4 linked regions of the Saccharomyces cerevisiae S288C genome follow. The gene in region 1 interacts genetically with each later gene. Each region holds a gene or a part of one and is shown in the gene's direction. Other genes may lie near its edges.

Region 1 (3,652 bases):
CCAAATCTTCAAAAATTTTGAGCGCTGTAAGGGATCATTTGGAGAAGGACTATCCTTTCCCAGTTGTCGAAGGTGATGGTGTTTCCATCATGGGCGGTGATGAAGAAGGTGTCTTCGCCTGGATTACTACAAACTACCTATTAGGTAATATCGGTGCTAATGGCCCCAAGTTACCTACTGCTGCCGTTTTTGACTTAGGCGGAGGGTCTACACAAATTGTTTTTGAGCCTACTTTCCCAATAAATGAAAAAATGGTCGATGGTGAGCATAAATTTGATTTGAAGTTTGGTGATGAAAATTACACCTTGTACCAATTTTCTCATCTAGGTTACGGTTTGAAGGAAGGAAGAAATAAAGTTAACTCTGTTCTTGTGGAAAATGCATTAAAAGACGGCAAAATATTGAAGGGTGATAACACTAAGACTCATCAATTGTCATCTCCATGCCTACCGCCTAAAGTTAATGCCACAAATGAAAAGGTTACATTAGAATCCAAGGAAACTTATACCATTGACTTTATAGGGCCGGACGAGCCAAGTGGTGCACAATGTAGATTTCTGACTGATGAAATTTTGAATAAAGATGCTCAGTGCCAGTCTCCACCATGCTCTTTCAATGGGGTTCACCAACCTTCTTTAGTTCGTACATTCAAAGAATCGAACGATATCTATATTTTCTCTTATTTCTACGACAGAACCCGTCCATTGGGTATGCCCTTGTCCTTTACTTTGAATGAATTGAACGATTTGGCAAGAATAGTGTGTAAAGGCGAAGAAACTTGGAATAGTGTCTTCAGTGGCATTGCGGGGTCCCTAGATGAATTGGAAAGTGACTCGCACTTCTGTTTGGACTTATCTTTTCAAGTGTCCTTATTACATACGGGATATGACATTCCATTACAAAGAGAATTGAGAACTGGAAAGAAAATTGCCAATAAAGAAATCGGTTGGTGTTTAGGTGCGTCATTACCATTGTTGAAAGCTGATAACTGGAAATGTAAAATTCAATCAGCTTGAATAAGAACATGGACACCGCTTTTCGTCCCATGTATATTAAGGAAGAGGAGATTGCGGTGATATGTATTCTGTTATATGTCCTATTCTATAACCCTTGAACAATATGTAAACGATTTTTACGTTATGAAAATCACTATTATCCCCACAATAGTTTATTATAACACCGCCGCCAAGACAGGGGATTGAAAAGGCCTTCCGAGGTTTATCCATTTTTGGTAAAAGCCCGCCACGCCTTCAGGTGTTTGAGTATGAACTGGAAGAGTTATCTGTTAGGACCTCATAATCTTGAACATATGAGATAATTTAATATACTTTTGTTATGGATTGTTCCGTTGTTTTAAGACTATATGGCTTTGTTTTAGTTTTAGGGTGATTGTGGATATCACACCGGTCCTCAAGAAAATCGAAAACAAAAGGATAATCGGACTTATCTGGTGATCGAAGAAACTGCATTTCAGGTCGTTTAATAAACTGCTAGCTATTGATATTATATATATAAATAAACCTACAATCAGGTTAGTGTATTCATCTCACTTCTATAGCGTTGTGAAAGGGAAATGGAAATAGTGCAATCTCAATAAATCTGCTTACGTGACATTTTTTACTAAAAGAGAATATGAAAACTGATAGATTACTGATTAACGCTTCCCCGGAGACATGTACCAAGGGAGATGCTGAGATGGATACTATGGATACTATTGACAGAATGACATCAGTTAAAGTTTTAGCGGAAGGCAAGGTATTAAGCAACTTCGAAGAACCGGGCTTAATGAGGTGCGGTTATCATGATGCAAAAAACTGGGTCAGAAGATTATCGAGCGAAACAATTGTCGGTGAGGACACGAGTAATTTATACCCATTTTATGTTGATACTGCATACGATGTAAGGCGTTTGAGAAAGGATCTTATAAATGCTAAGGTTGACTTGCAGGTTGAAAACCTGATAATAATCTGCAATATTAATGATATTTCCACTGTATTTCTCATGAGAGAAGTGGTGGAATGGATCTTACGCAATTTCCATTCAATAACTGTATATGTACAAGATATTTTTAAAAAGTCAACTCAGTTTGCTGTTGGTGACCTCTGCAAAGACAGCAATTGCAGTAAAAACAGAGTAAAGTATTGGTCAAAAGAATTTGTTAAAAAACACGATTCATTCTTTGACTTGATGATTACACTAGGGGGTGATGGAACTGTCCTTTTTGCTTCATCTATATTCACGAAAGATGTTCCGCCGATTGTTCCATTTGCCCTTGGATCATTAGGATTTCTAACAAATTTTGAATTTCAAAATTTCAAAGAAACGTTGAAACATATCTTAACAGATGAGGTTCGTATTAATTTACGAATGAGGTTGCAATGCAAACTCTACCGTAGAAATAAACCAGAAATTGATGCCGCAACTGGGAGAAAAATATGTTACATCGATTTCATCTCCGAACATCACGTATTGAACGAAGTAACCATAGATAGAGGTCCAGCTCCTTGTTTATCCCTATTAGAACTCTATGGAAACGACTCACTAATGACTAAGGTTCAGGGAGATGGATTGATTGTTGCCACGCCTACGGGATCCACGGCATACTCATTGAGTGCAGGAGGCTCTTTAATATCGCCAAGCGTAAATGCCATAGCGGTGACGCCTATATGTCCTCATACTTTGAGCTTTAGGCCTATAATTTTACCAGATAGCATGGAATTAAAAGTTAGAGTAGATATGAACTCAAGAGGGACGTCGTGGGTGAATTTTGACGGAAAAGATAGAGTTGAATTGAAACAGGGTGACTATGTTGTGATAACTGCAAGCCCCTATTCGGTACCGACTATCGAGTCATCTGCCAGTGAATTTTTTGAAAGTATCAGTAAAAATCTTAATTGGAATGACCGCGAAGAGCAGAAGCCATTTGCACATATTCTCTCGCCAAAAAATCAAGAAAAATATAGATTAGACTCATCGAAAAATGGAAACGACACCATAAGTAATCCCCTCGAGAGTTCATGCATAAGCTCAGATGCACAAGATGAGGAGAGGAAATCCGTAACGGAAACAGAAACAGAAATAGTTGTTGAACGGACTCGTCAGGCTCATTTTGCAATCTAACGATTTCCCACATCCTGCGTTTCCGTAGTCAAGGGTTCATAATGGATGATGAGCCTGTAAACAGCTTTGTATTTACCTCTTTTACTTCAAGAATGCTCTTGCGTCGTTTGCAGTGTCGAAGAAGATCCAGTAGAGCTATACAAAATGGAGAAATGAAACAGTTGAACCAGAGCGCCGCATTTGGCAGGTAGTTTCGCTAAATTTCCTCATGCGCGTTTGTAATTATGCTAGTTAACCATATGATAAGGTTGCCTAACTTGCAGTCACCGGAAGGTTATTTCCGGAATGGTGCAGAATAATTTTTAAAATAGTAGCATATATTTCGTTCCAATTCCCAAATAGGGAATTATAATTATGACAGATAAATTCCCGATTAGGAAGAAGCGCGAAAATTCTTGAAAAACTTTTTTCAACCTCGAAGAAAATCGTCGTCCTTCGAAGATTTAGTGGGAATCTTCAAGGTGGATAGTTTCCAAATTAAAACTGCAGAAGAGGCTTTTAAAACATGCCTGAGGTATAAAAAGAACAACAT
Region 2 (3,323 bases), on another chromosome or scaffold:
GAGGATGATCACGAACTGACCACTACAGTTTTCAACTGTTTTGAGTCCAATTTTCTTAGGATAAGAACGAATGAAATCTTTGATATATGCGTTTTGGCTTATCCTGATTCAAAGGTTACTTTATTGGAATTGAGGAAAATTATGAAAGATTTTAAAGACTACACAAATATTGTAACAACTTTTTTGTCTGATTTCAAGAAATACATTCTAAACCCCAGCGTAACTACGGTGGACGCTTTGTTGAGATATGTTAAAACTATCAAAGCATTTTTGGTCCTGGATCCAACAGGGAGATGCCTACATTCAATAACCACGTTTGTTAAACCTTACTTTCAGGAGCGGAAGCACTTAGTAAATGTATTGTTATACGCAATGTTGGACTTACCTGAAGAAGAACTAAAGGAGAAAATTAATTTCAATGTAGATATGAAGGCACTGCTCTCACTTGTAGACACTTTGCACGATTCTGATATCAATCAAGATACGAACATCACCAAAAGGGACAAGAATAAAAAAAGCCCCTTTCTATGGAACCTCAAGGTGAAAGGAAAGAGGGAATTGAACAAGGACCTACCAATAAGACACGCCATGCTATACGAACATATACTCAATTATTATATAGCTTGGGTACCAGAGCCTAATGACATGATTCCCGGTAACATCAAATCAAGTTATATTAAGACAAATTTGTTTGAGGTGCTTTTGGATCTATTTGAATCAAGAGAATTTTTCATATCAGAATTTCGAAATCTCTTAACCGACAGATTATTCACTTTGAAATTTTATACGTTGGATGAAAAATGGACCCGATGTTTGAAATTAATAAGAGAAAAAATAGTCAAATTCACAGAAACAAGTCATTCCAATTATATAACAAACGGTATATTAGGACTCCTAGAAACAACAGCCCCTGCAGCAGATGCAGACCAGTCGAATTTGAATAGCATTGATGTTATGCTTTGGGATATAAAATGTAGCGAGGAGCTCTGCCGTAAAATGCATGAAGTAGCCGGACTGGATCCCATAATATTTCCAAAATTTATCTCACTCCTCTACTGGAAGTACAACTGCGATACACAAGGTTCTAATGATCTTGCATTTCATTTACCAATAGATTTAGAAAGGGAGCTACAGAAGTATTCTGATATATACTCACAGCTGAAACCTGGGCGCAAGTTACAACTATGCAAAGATAAAGGAAAAGTAGAAATACAATTAGCTTTCAAAGATGGTAGGAAATTAGTGTTAGACGTTTCTTTAGAACAATGCAGCGTAATAAATCAGTTTGATTCTCCAAATGATGAGCCAATTTGTTTATCACTAGAGCAGCTTTCTGAGTCACTAAATATTGCTCCTCCCAGGCTAACTCATTTGTTAGATTTCTGGATTCAAAAAGGTGTGCTTTTAAAAGAAAATGGAACCTATTCCGTTATTGAACATAGCGAGATGGATTTTGATCAAGCACAAAAGACCGCCCCAATGGAGATTGAGAACAGTAACTATGAACTACATAACGATTCTGAGATAGAAAGAAAATATGAATTGACACTTCAAAGAAGTCTGCCATTCATCGAAGGAATGCTGACTAATTTAGGCGCAATGAAACTTCATAAGATCCATTCTTTTTTGAAAATTACCGTGCCAAAAGATTGGGGATATAACCGAATTACTCTTCAACAATTAGAGGGATATTTAAACACTCTGGCCGATGAGGGTAGGCTGAAGTACATTGCCAATGGTTCATATGAAATAGTGAAAAATGGGCATAAAAACTCATGATTGAGGTGCAGTTTTTTACACGACTGCCACGAACAATCTCTTTTTGTCGCAAAATGTCAACGCGCGCCAAAGTGGGAAGTGGCAGATGAGGTGTACAGAAGAAAAGACAGATAAGGTTTATAATTTCACATAGATAATTGAGAAAGTTTGAAATATATACCGCTATAGCTCTGAAAATTATGCATTAACATATATTAGAATTGAATTATATCAAAAAAATACTAAGAAAACATCATAATGACAGTAAAAAAAATAGCTATTCTTTATACAGATGAAGATAACGAATGGAGTAAACCATGGGGCAATTTTGTTGATATGGCTATCAAGCTATTAGAACAGACCAGGAAATTGGAATGTATCGCAGAAGATGTCGAATATGAAGTGTTCCACGTACAAAAAAACGTGTTCCCTCAATTGTCAGATCTTCAGAAAGATGAGTATTTAGGCATATACATCACTGGTTCAAAATATGATTCATTTGATAATGAAATTGAATGGATTATGAAATTAAGAAGTTTCTTAAATGAGATGCTAACTAGCAAGACTGAATATCCGCCCGTAGCTGGAATATGTTTTGGTCATCAAGTTATCGCGGCTGCTCTAGGAAGTTCAGTTGGACGGAATCCGAAAGGGTTTGAAGGTGGGGTTGTGTCACTAAAACTGAACTCTGTGGGTCAAAAGTTATTTGGTGCTCAAGAATTAAATCTTTCTGAAGTGCACAGTGACTGCGTGTTCGATGTCCCAGAGGGATACCAAAATTGGGCGTCAAGTGAAAAATGTCAAAACCAAGGATTTTACAGGCAAAACAGAGTGCTGACGTTTCAAGGACACCCTGAATTCAATAGTGATGTCGCTCAGAAGGGGCTTTTGAAGTCTCAAGACAAGCTTACCCTTGAAGAGTTTAATAGATACGAAAGACAGTGCCAGGAGCTGGATAACAATGGCATACAAGCTGCCAGGAATATTTGGAGGTTATTCTTGCAAAAAATATGAAACAGCTGCTTGGGTTATATAGTCGATAGAGGACGTATAGGAAAGATAGCTTATAAGGTTTTTTTTTTTTTCAATTTCAACTAGTGTTGCATGAAGGCCTCGCTACGTCATTTCCTTCATTTCCCAGAATTCTGCAGAAACTTTATCAAATCACTCCAATGATCAGTATCCGAAGGTTCGGCACTACATAGTTTCGTTTATTAAGTCCAATAAATAAGCTTTTTTGTATGCACTTTTTTTTCGCTCATGCATAATGGATATAGCTGACTGAATGTCAGTAGTAATATCTGCGAGAAAATATGACACTAATTCTTGAGGTTTGTTGATTTACGTAATATGGTCCTCGTATAGTTAGAACGTTGTTCTAAAGAGCTAATGGCAGTTTCACTGCAGCGACCAAACAGGCAAGTTACACTCTCTGAGAACTAAACTTCTTGAATTGATGTCTGACCACGTTGGCATTTCCCAGTAAATTCAATAGGCTCAAATTAGCGGAAGAAAGCAATTTGTTATCTTTAATTAACCCTCAAAGAAATAGATACATCAATAAA
Region 3 (3,299 bases), on another chromosome or scaffold:
AAAAGTCCGCAGAACGACCACTCGAGGGTAAGAAAAAAACAGCTCAGATTTCCTATTTGAGGCAAATTATGCGGAAATTGAAGAATCGAAAATCACGGAAGTGGTACCAAAATCGGTAGGTTGTTTTCAATTTACCCTTTTTTTCCATTCCCTCATTTAGAACCCATAGCGAGGTCGAAATATCCCTTAGCCATTGGTGTGATGTCTATAGTTATTTCCCTCAGTCAACCCAAAGCAAGATTTACATTGTGTTAACGTATGCCGTGATATGAACAAACACACCGGCCTACATAGCTAAGTTAATCAAAGAAGGTGTAGATAAACTAGGTTACATAACTGCCTATTGGCAAGCTTTCTTGCTATCTTAACAGCAAAGCTCTTAAGTCGTGATCTTCTCTTCTGATTCTCTTCCGATGGCATATAGATTTGAAGACGACAAGGAAAGCTAAGCAACTTCCTAGTTTTCGTCTAAAAAAACCGAAGGTTTTTCCGGTGATTTTCGGAAACATGCAGAAGAGTCCTTAGAAATCTTAGGTAAATTCACTCGGCATGTCTGCTAAAGATCGGTCTAGGCCATGCGCGTAAAACGGGAAAGGGTTCGCTCAATGGCAGATGCTGCCATACGAGGACACAACCAAGATGAGGCCTCCCAAAGCGGTACTCGCGTTAAGAAAGAAGGGCTTTGGAGGCAACCGGGTAGGGTGTCTTCTTTGTAAAGTTTGTCTAATGTTGGAGAATGGTTGCCACCCGGGGAAGAAAACTGCTCAGGGCGGATAACAGGAAAATAACATGTTGCGTGCACTTGTTTCCGTTGAAGGGAGATGGAAAGACTACTTAAAACAAAGTAAAGAAAAACATCTCAAAAATATTGAGAGAAAATGTGGTCCAGGAACCAAAGATGGTATACTATTTTGCTTTAGTTTATTTTTGCCTTCTTGTTTAATTATTACTCAATTGGTATATGTAATTGAGTAAATATACAAATTGTAGCTTGTGTTTTTGTTTTTCACAAATGACATCGGTATGTATTTTTCAACATATCTTCGCCATTTCTGTGAGCTATTCCGAACACCGCTTGAAACGATTTGTATTTTGCACAATCGTCATCGAAGTTCAAAAGTCAATTGCTTTTCCTAATAGAGTTAAAAGTCGGTCTACGAAAGTAAAATGTATACTCAGTAAGAGCGGTCTTTGTCTACAGTTCTCCAAAGTGGTAGTTATATCGGGAATGGGTAAATGCATTACACAACAACAAGGAGTTCTAAAAGAGTAACTGTGAACGCCAAAGGAAAAGATATAAAAAAAGTATGTCCCTTTTTAATACCTTTTTCGTTAAGCCGCTACAGCTACCTCTTGACTAACTGAGAAGCTGAATGGATAAGGAACAAAATCGTACGTAAATTTTCTCATCCATTTTACTTGGTCAACAGATTCTATAATTGTAAAGCTGTAGCTTGCACTTGATTTTGTTCCTAGAAATGCATTCAAAATTATTTAATGGTCGCCAAGAACAGCTAGGTGAAAGTTTACCCGGTCGGGCTTTAAGGGGAAGCCAATGCTTATTCAAAGCATATGGACATATATGAAGATGTCCTGTAAGATTCTTAGATTAAGTTTATATGCATTGAGCAACTAGACACTTTTCGTAAAATGAGTAGTGTTGGCGATTTTGAAGAAATTATTTTGCATGATTTAAAACCTTATTATCACGTTCCCGGTGCCATACATAGTGAAGGAATAACCTTCGTTAAGGAAACCGGTACACTGTTGTGGGTTGATATTTTTAAAGGAGAGGTTCATAAAGTCGAAGACATAGAACAGCCTGAATCCAGTCATTCTTTTTTTTCCATTAGTAGAGCCAATTATGGCAAGAATGCGTCAATTGAGTACCCTCCCAATCCAGATGAATTAAAAGAATCCGTGGGCTGTATATTTCCAATACTTGATGGGGCTTCACAAAATGAAATCAAACAAGTATTATTTGGTAGTAAATTTGGCATAGGAAAATTGGATTTTAGCAAAAGTGAATGGGAATATGTCATTTTGTATTCCGAATGTCCTGAATTGAGTACAGACAGAGCATATAAGTTGAGATCTAATGATGGGAACGTTTCGCCAGATGGAAAATATATTTATGTGGGGCTAATGAGCGATTTTCCATTTGATTTGGAACCTATTGGGTGTTTGCTTCGTGTTGACCTATTAGCTCACAAGATAGAGCTTGTTTGGAATTGCTTGTTAATTCCTAACGCGATCCACTGGGATGAAAGTGATCAAAAGACGATGTACGTGACTGATTCTTTAAACTTCACTATTTGGAAATGTCCTGGTGGCGACTTGCTAAAACGTGACGAGTTAATTGACGTGAAGAACTCCAACAATCAATCTTTTGAGTCTCCTGAACCAGATGGAAGTGCAATTTGGTTTAGCAAAGACGGAAAACATTCTGGGTTTCTGTTTATCACTGTCTGGTCCACCAGTAAGGTTCAAATGTTCGATTTAACTAACGGAAAATTGCTGAAGGAGTTCATTTTGCCGGAGCAGACACCAAGAGTTTCATGTTGTTGTTTTGTTGGTAAAGATCTCTTCGTGACCACTGCCAATGCAGAAATCAACGATGCTGTAAGAACCAATACTGACAAGAATGGTGGCTGCATCTACAAAATTCCAAACGTGCTAGACGGAAATGTTCCTCTGGAATCTACAAAGCGACAACCTCTCCACTAGGTGTATATACATATGTTTATATATATGCAGCATACGTATCCAGCGCATGTAACTAGCGTCATATGACACCGCTTATGGGCAAATTGAAGCGAAGCTCCCAAACTTGTCCTTATACATCGAATAATAGCCGTTCCATTTTGGTTGCCTAGTTATAAGGAGGGAACACCTAAGGGGCGGACAATCAAAAATACATAAAAGAGCGGAAAAGAAAAGAAATAAAAAGAAACCACATTTTATATCACACTTTTCTCGAGAAACATCGAACATCAAGACCTCCAGCATACTACTCACTATTATAAGCACATACTACGCCACATAGATAATGCCGAAAGTCGCTATTTTGATTTATTCAGTGGACGATATAATTGCCACATTAGCAGAAAATGAAAAAAAAGGTATAGAGATAGCTGGTGGTGAGGCTGAGATTTTCCAAGTGCCAGACGTCAGCTATAAAACTGAATATGCGACAGAAGAGGGAAAAGAGGCAGCCAAAGTCGCCAAAACTAATGCAGATTTTTCCTATAAAATCCTAACAAGAGAAACGTTGGTTGAGTACGATTACTACTTATTCG
Region 4 (3,838 bases), on another chromosome or scaffold:
ACAACCCCAGGAGTTGGTGTCAATCATATTTCCGTTAAGTTGAGAATCTGTAACGGATAGTTCAGACCCTAAAGCCTTGCATCTTTCTTTCACAACATTTATAACACTTGCCTCATTGGTTCCATCAATCACTGTGAAGGGTACCCCTTCTGTTATTATACCTGCTTTCTCTTTAGAGATTTCAGACAAGGTGTTACCTAAAAAGCTTTCATGATCCAAACTGATTTTAGTAATACCACAACATGCCTTATTTGCGCCTGGAATAACATTGGTCGCATCAAGTCTTCCGCCAAGGCCTACTTCTATGACACACCATTGGCACTGCACATCATAAAAATATTTGAATGCGGTACATGTTAATAGCTCGAATTCCGTACATTTTAAAGAGTGTGACTTGTTTAAAGCTTCTAGTTGTAATCTAATATTCTGGTATCTCTCTAACGGAATCGGCTTATTGTTGATTGTAATGGAATCAGTAACATGCACCAAGTGTGGAGTGGTAAATTTTCCAATTTGGTAGGACTTTTGTTGCAACACAGAAGATAGGTAAGTACATACTGAACCTTTACCATTTGTCCCTGCAATGTGCAGCACTCTAAGTGAGTTTTGCGGATTGCCTAAATGCTCTAGTAGTTTTGTAATACGGGAAAGTCCCAATTCAATGGCCATTGATATAGCAAAATACAATAAATACACTAGATCAACTTACTAACAGGTGACCTTATCGGTCTATTCAAAACATTTACATTATAAACAATCCTGAGTTTTTCTGCTCAATTTTTAAATAACAATTATTCATAGAGGAAAACACCCGAACTAACCAATGTTGTAGAAGGGCCTATAAATAATATATATAACACAAGAAATATGGTAACCAGGACGTAGCCACCGTATGAGAAGCTTTGAAACATCCAGTGATAAAAAAATCTTGACTTTATTTATATATATGTATATTGGACATTTTAAAAACTTGATTTAAGTCGCTCATTGCGGCGGCTTTTATATTTTGAAAGTAATCGAATGAGTACGAAAATCTGACTTGGACAGTATGCAGGCCCTCATCTTAGCGGTTTTTTGACCCAGTCGTTAGATCTGCTAATTCGATTCAAATCTTCTCATCAAGCCAGAGGCGCGCTTATTAGAAGGACGCTATCAAATCCAAATGAACAACGATGCAGGTTCTCAATACGAAGAGTGAAACGAAACAAGAAAACGAAACAATGCAGCCACCATATATACAAGAACGTCTTAAGTCATTAAATGATATAGAGACCCAGTTATGCTCCATGTTGCAGGAGGCGTCTCAAGTCACGTTCATATTTGGTGAACTAAAAAGAGGTAATGAATCAGTGAAACCCCAATTCGAAAATCATGTCAAACAGTTTTACGAACGACTAGATAAATCAACCACACAGCTACGCAAGGAGATACAGTTGTTGGATGAGAACGTTGGAACACGACTACTGCCCATCAATGTCAACAAGAAGGCCCTAGGCCAAGACACAGAAAAAATGGAAGAACAATTGGATTTATTGTCGGCTATATTAGATCCTTCGAAATCCAAGTAAACCTTAATTAGGACTAGAACACTTTTGTATCAAGTACAAATGTATAATTATATAAACATCACAGGGATATCATATTCCATATGATGATATAGCATTTACTTTACTTCAACCAGTATTGTCTAAAGAGAACGAGTTTAGTATTAGTAAAAAAATTAAAAAAAGGAAGCGTACTTGAAACTCAAACACAAACGAGAGTACAAAGGGCATTGCTAGCTTAAAATATTTAACAATCAACTTCGTCTTTTGCCAGAAGACTACATTTTGTGCCATCGAGAAGTTAGTCCAGGAGTCAACACATTAATTAAACATGCCCGCTCGAGAATATAACTATGTAGAAGGTTTTGGTGGGTACGGCTCGTTGGACGATGATGATTCAGATAGAGATTCTGAACGCAGGAATCACGATCTAGGGCAGCGAACTATAACCACAAGTCCAACAGGAGTATCAAGACATGCTGCATTAAATAGGTACATGATCCCAGGCCGTATCAATCCTCTTTTCAGACCGACAGACGCTGCTCAACCTCCCATAGTGTCTACATCCACATCAGCATCGGCAACAGAACCGACCAACAGAATAGGCCCTGGAAGGATAAAAGAAACCCCTGAAACAAATTTCAATGCATTTCTTATAGCACAACTAACCAGAATGGAGGAGCAAAATGCCAATCTGAAGGAAGAAATCAGCCTAATGAAAAAGGAACAAGAACTCTTCTTTCTAGAGAATCAAAAGAAGTTGGAGAAAGGATTTAAAGACATCAATAAGTATGTTGAAGATGTTTCCGCAATGAAAGAAGTCTTCAAAGAGGTAGTTGGTATTATGACTGGGGAGAGAATAAGATTTATAGACCATACTGGGGAAAATGTTACTCCTCAGGAAGCTGCTCGTGTTGGAAATCCATCAACAAGTACGCAAGCTCATCAAAGTCAGTCAAGATCAACAAACTGGCAAGAATATAGTATGCACGCAAGCATATTAGCCGGCGATCCTCGTATCAAGCCTGAGCCAGGGCTGTCAGACTTTGAAAATGGGGAATACGATGGTAATGAAAGTGATGAGAACGCTACCACCAGGAACCTACCTTTAAATAACCCCGATTCTGTTAGCAATGCTGATGACAGTAATAACCAACTCGATGGAACAGGAAACGAGAATGATATCAGAAACAGAAGAGGGTGCGTTGGAACGTCATATAAACTAAATCGTGCAATCCAGAACGTTACAGATGCGGCCCGTGAATACTTTGAAGGCTTACCGGGCCAACCGTCAGTTCTTTCCCTTGAGAGGAGATATGGGTCCACTTGGAGGCGATCTGCCAAAGAAAGGACTTTGTTCACTAAAAGAATGACCATCATAAAAAGAATAATAGATATAAAAGATGATCCAAGCAAATATGGTTTGTCGCTACCTGAGAATAAAATAAGTAGAAACCAAGCCATCAAGGTTGTCGAAAATATAAGATTGGGAAACAATACCTTCAAAGGACATCATTGCCGATTATCAATGTCCCAGTTATACGAATACTTCTCCAAAAAAATGGACAAACTCGAAGACTATTCACTTACTCTAAAGAGAAGAGGGAAGCCAAGAAGAATTTTCTTGTTAGAAGAGAGAGAAGCTAGATTATCATTACAGCAGCCACATAGTATACCAAATTCCAGTACAGGCACACCAGAACATGATCAAGACACTTAGAGGAAATGGAACAACGAATTTCCAGCCAAAAATTCCGAGTAGTTCATGATGAAAGATTTTTACATGCATTTTATATATAAATATATACCGTCCTATATGGATTTCATGCCAACAGGGTATATAATAGACAATTACCGGTGTACTGATATATCAACTATCGACTCCAAGCCTTTTATCTATCAGTCAATTTTACATCAAGATCCCACTTTTAGATAGGTTCGAAAATTCAATCTAATATTAGTGATTTAATTAGATGGTGGATTGCTTACCCTTTTTTTTGTCGTTTTAGGAGGAGATTCTTCGGATTTTAGGGATAAACGGATACTCCATATATAAAAAACAAAACTTCAGGCATATTGATTATCTAAAAGGAATATTCTAAAACCATAGCCATAGTAATTTATCACCAACATGTCAAACGACGGCTCAAAAATATTGAATTATACCCCAGTGTCTAAAATAGATGAAATAGTTGAAATCTCAAGAAATTTCTTCTTTGAGAAACAATTGAAATTGTCCCACGAAAATAACCCAAGGAAAAAAGATCTAGAATTCAGGCAGTTGCAGTTGAAAA

Evidence for each region.
Region 2: mutations in YEF1 (region 1) and YLR126C together harm fitness more than expected from each alone (negative genetic interaction), as found in Saccharomyces cerevisiae (one large-scale study listed by BioGRID).
Region 3: mutations in YEF1 (region 1) and YBR053C together harm fitness more than expected from each alone (negative genetic interaction), as found in Saccharomyces cerevisiae (one large-scale study listed by BioGRID).
Region 4: mutations in YEF1 (region 1) and EUC1 together harm fitness more than expected from each alone (negative genetic interaction), as found in Saccharomyces cerevisiae (one large-scale study listed by BioGRID).

Annotation. Positions count from the first base shown.
Region 1 is NC_001137.3:74,312-77,963, forward strand, and holds YEF1 (NADH/NAD(+) kinase), read left to right. Parts: upstream 1-1,632; coding exon 1,633-3,120; downstream 3,121-3,652. Other genes in the region: GDA1 (guanosine diphosphatase), read left to right, coding at 1-1,016. UniProt on the Saccharomyces cerevisiae protein: ATP-NADH kinase with a low phosphorylation activity of both NADH and NAD(+) to produce NADP and NADPH by using ATP.
Region 2 is NC_001144.5:394,214-397,536, reverse strand, and holds YLR126C (putative amidotransferase), read left to right. Parts: upstream 1-2,016; coding exon 2,017-2,772; downstream 2,773-3,323. Other genes in the region: APC2 (anaphase promoting complex subunit 2), read left to right, coding at 1-1,779. UniProt on the Saccharomyces cerevisiae protein: May have a role in copper and iron homeostasis.
Region 3 is NC_001134.8:339,103-342,401, reverse strand, and holds YBR053C (regucalcin), read left to right. Parts: upstream 1-1,650; coding exon 1,651-2,727; downstream 2,728-3,299. Other genes in the region: RFS1 (flavodoxin-like fold family protein), read left to right, coding at 3,050-3,299.
Region 4 is NC_001145.3:491,830-495,667, reverse strand, and holds EUC1 (Euc1p), read left to right. Parts: upstream 1-1,875; coding exon 1,876-3,264; downstream 3,265-3,838. Other genes in the region: FOL3 (dihydrofolate synthase), read right to left, coding at 1-669; MED11 (Med11p), read left to right, coding at 1,173-1,568; HFD1 (hexadecenal dehydrogenase), read left to right, coding at 3,676-3,838. UniProt on the Saccharomyces cerevisiae protein: Transcription factor-like protein that binds to specific DNA motifs called ub-HS-motif associated with several locations where proteins other than histone H2B are ubiquitinated (ub-hotspots).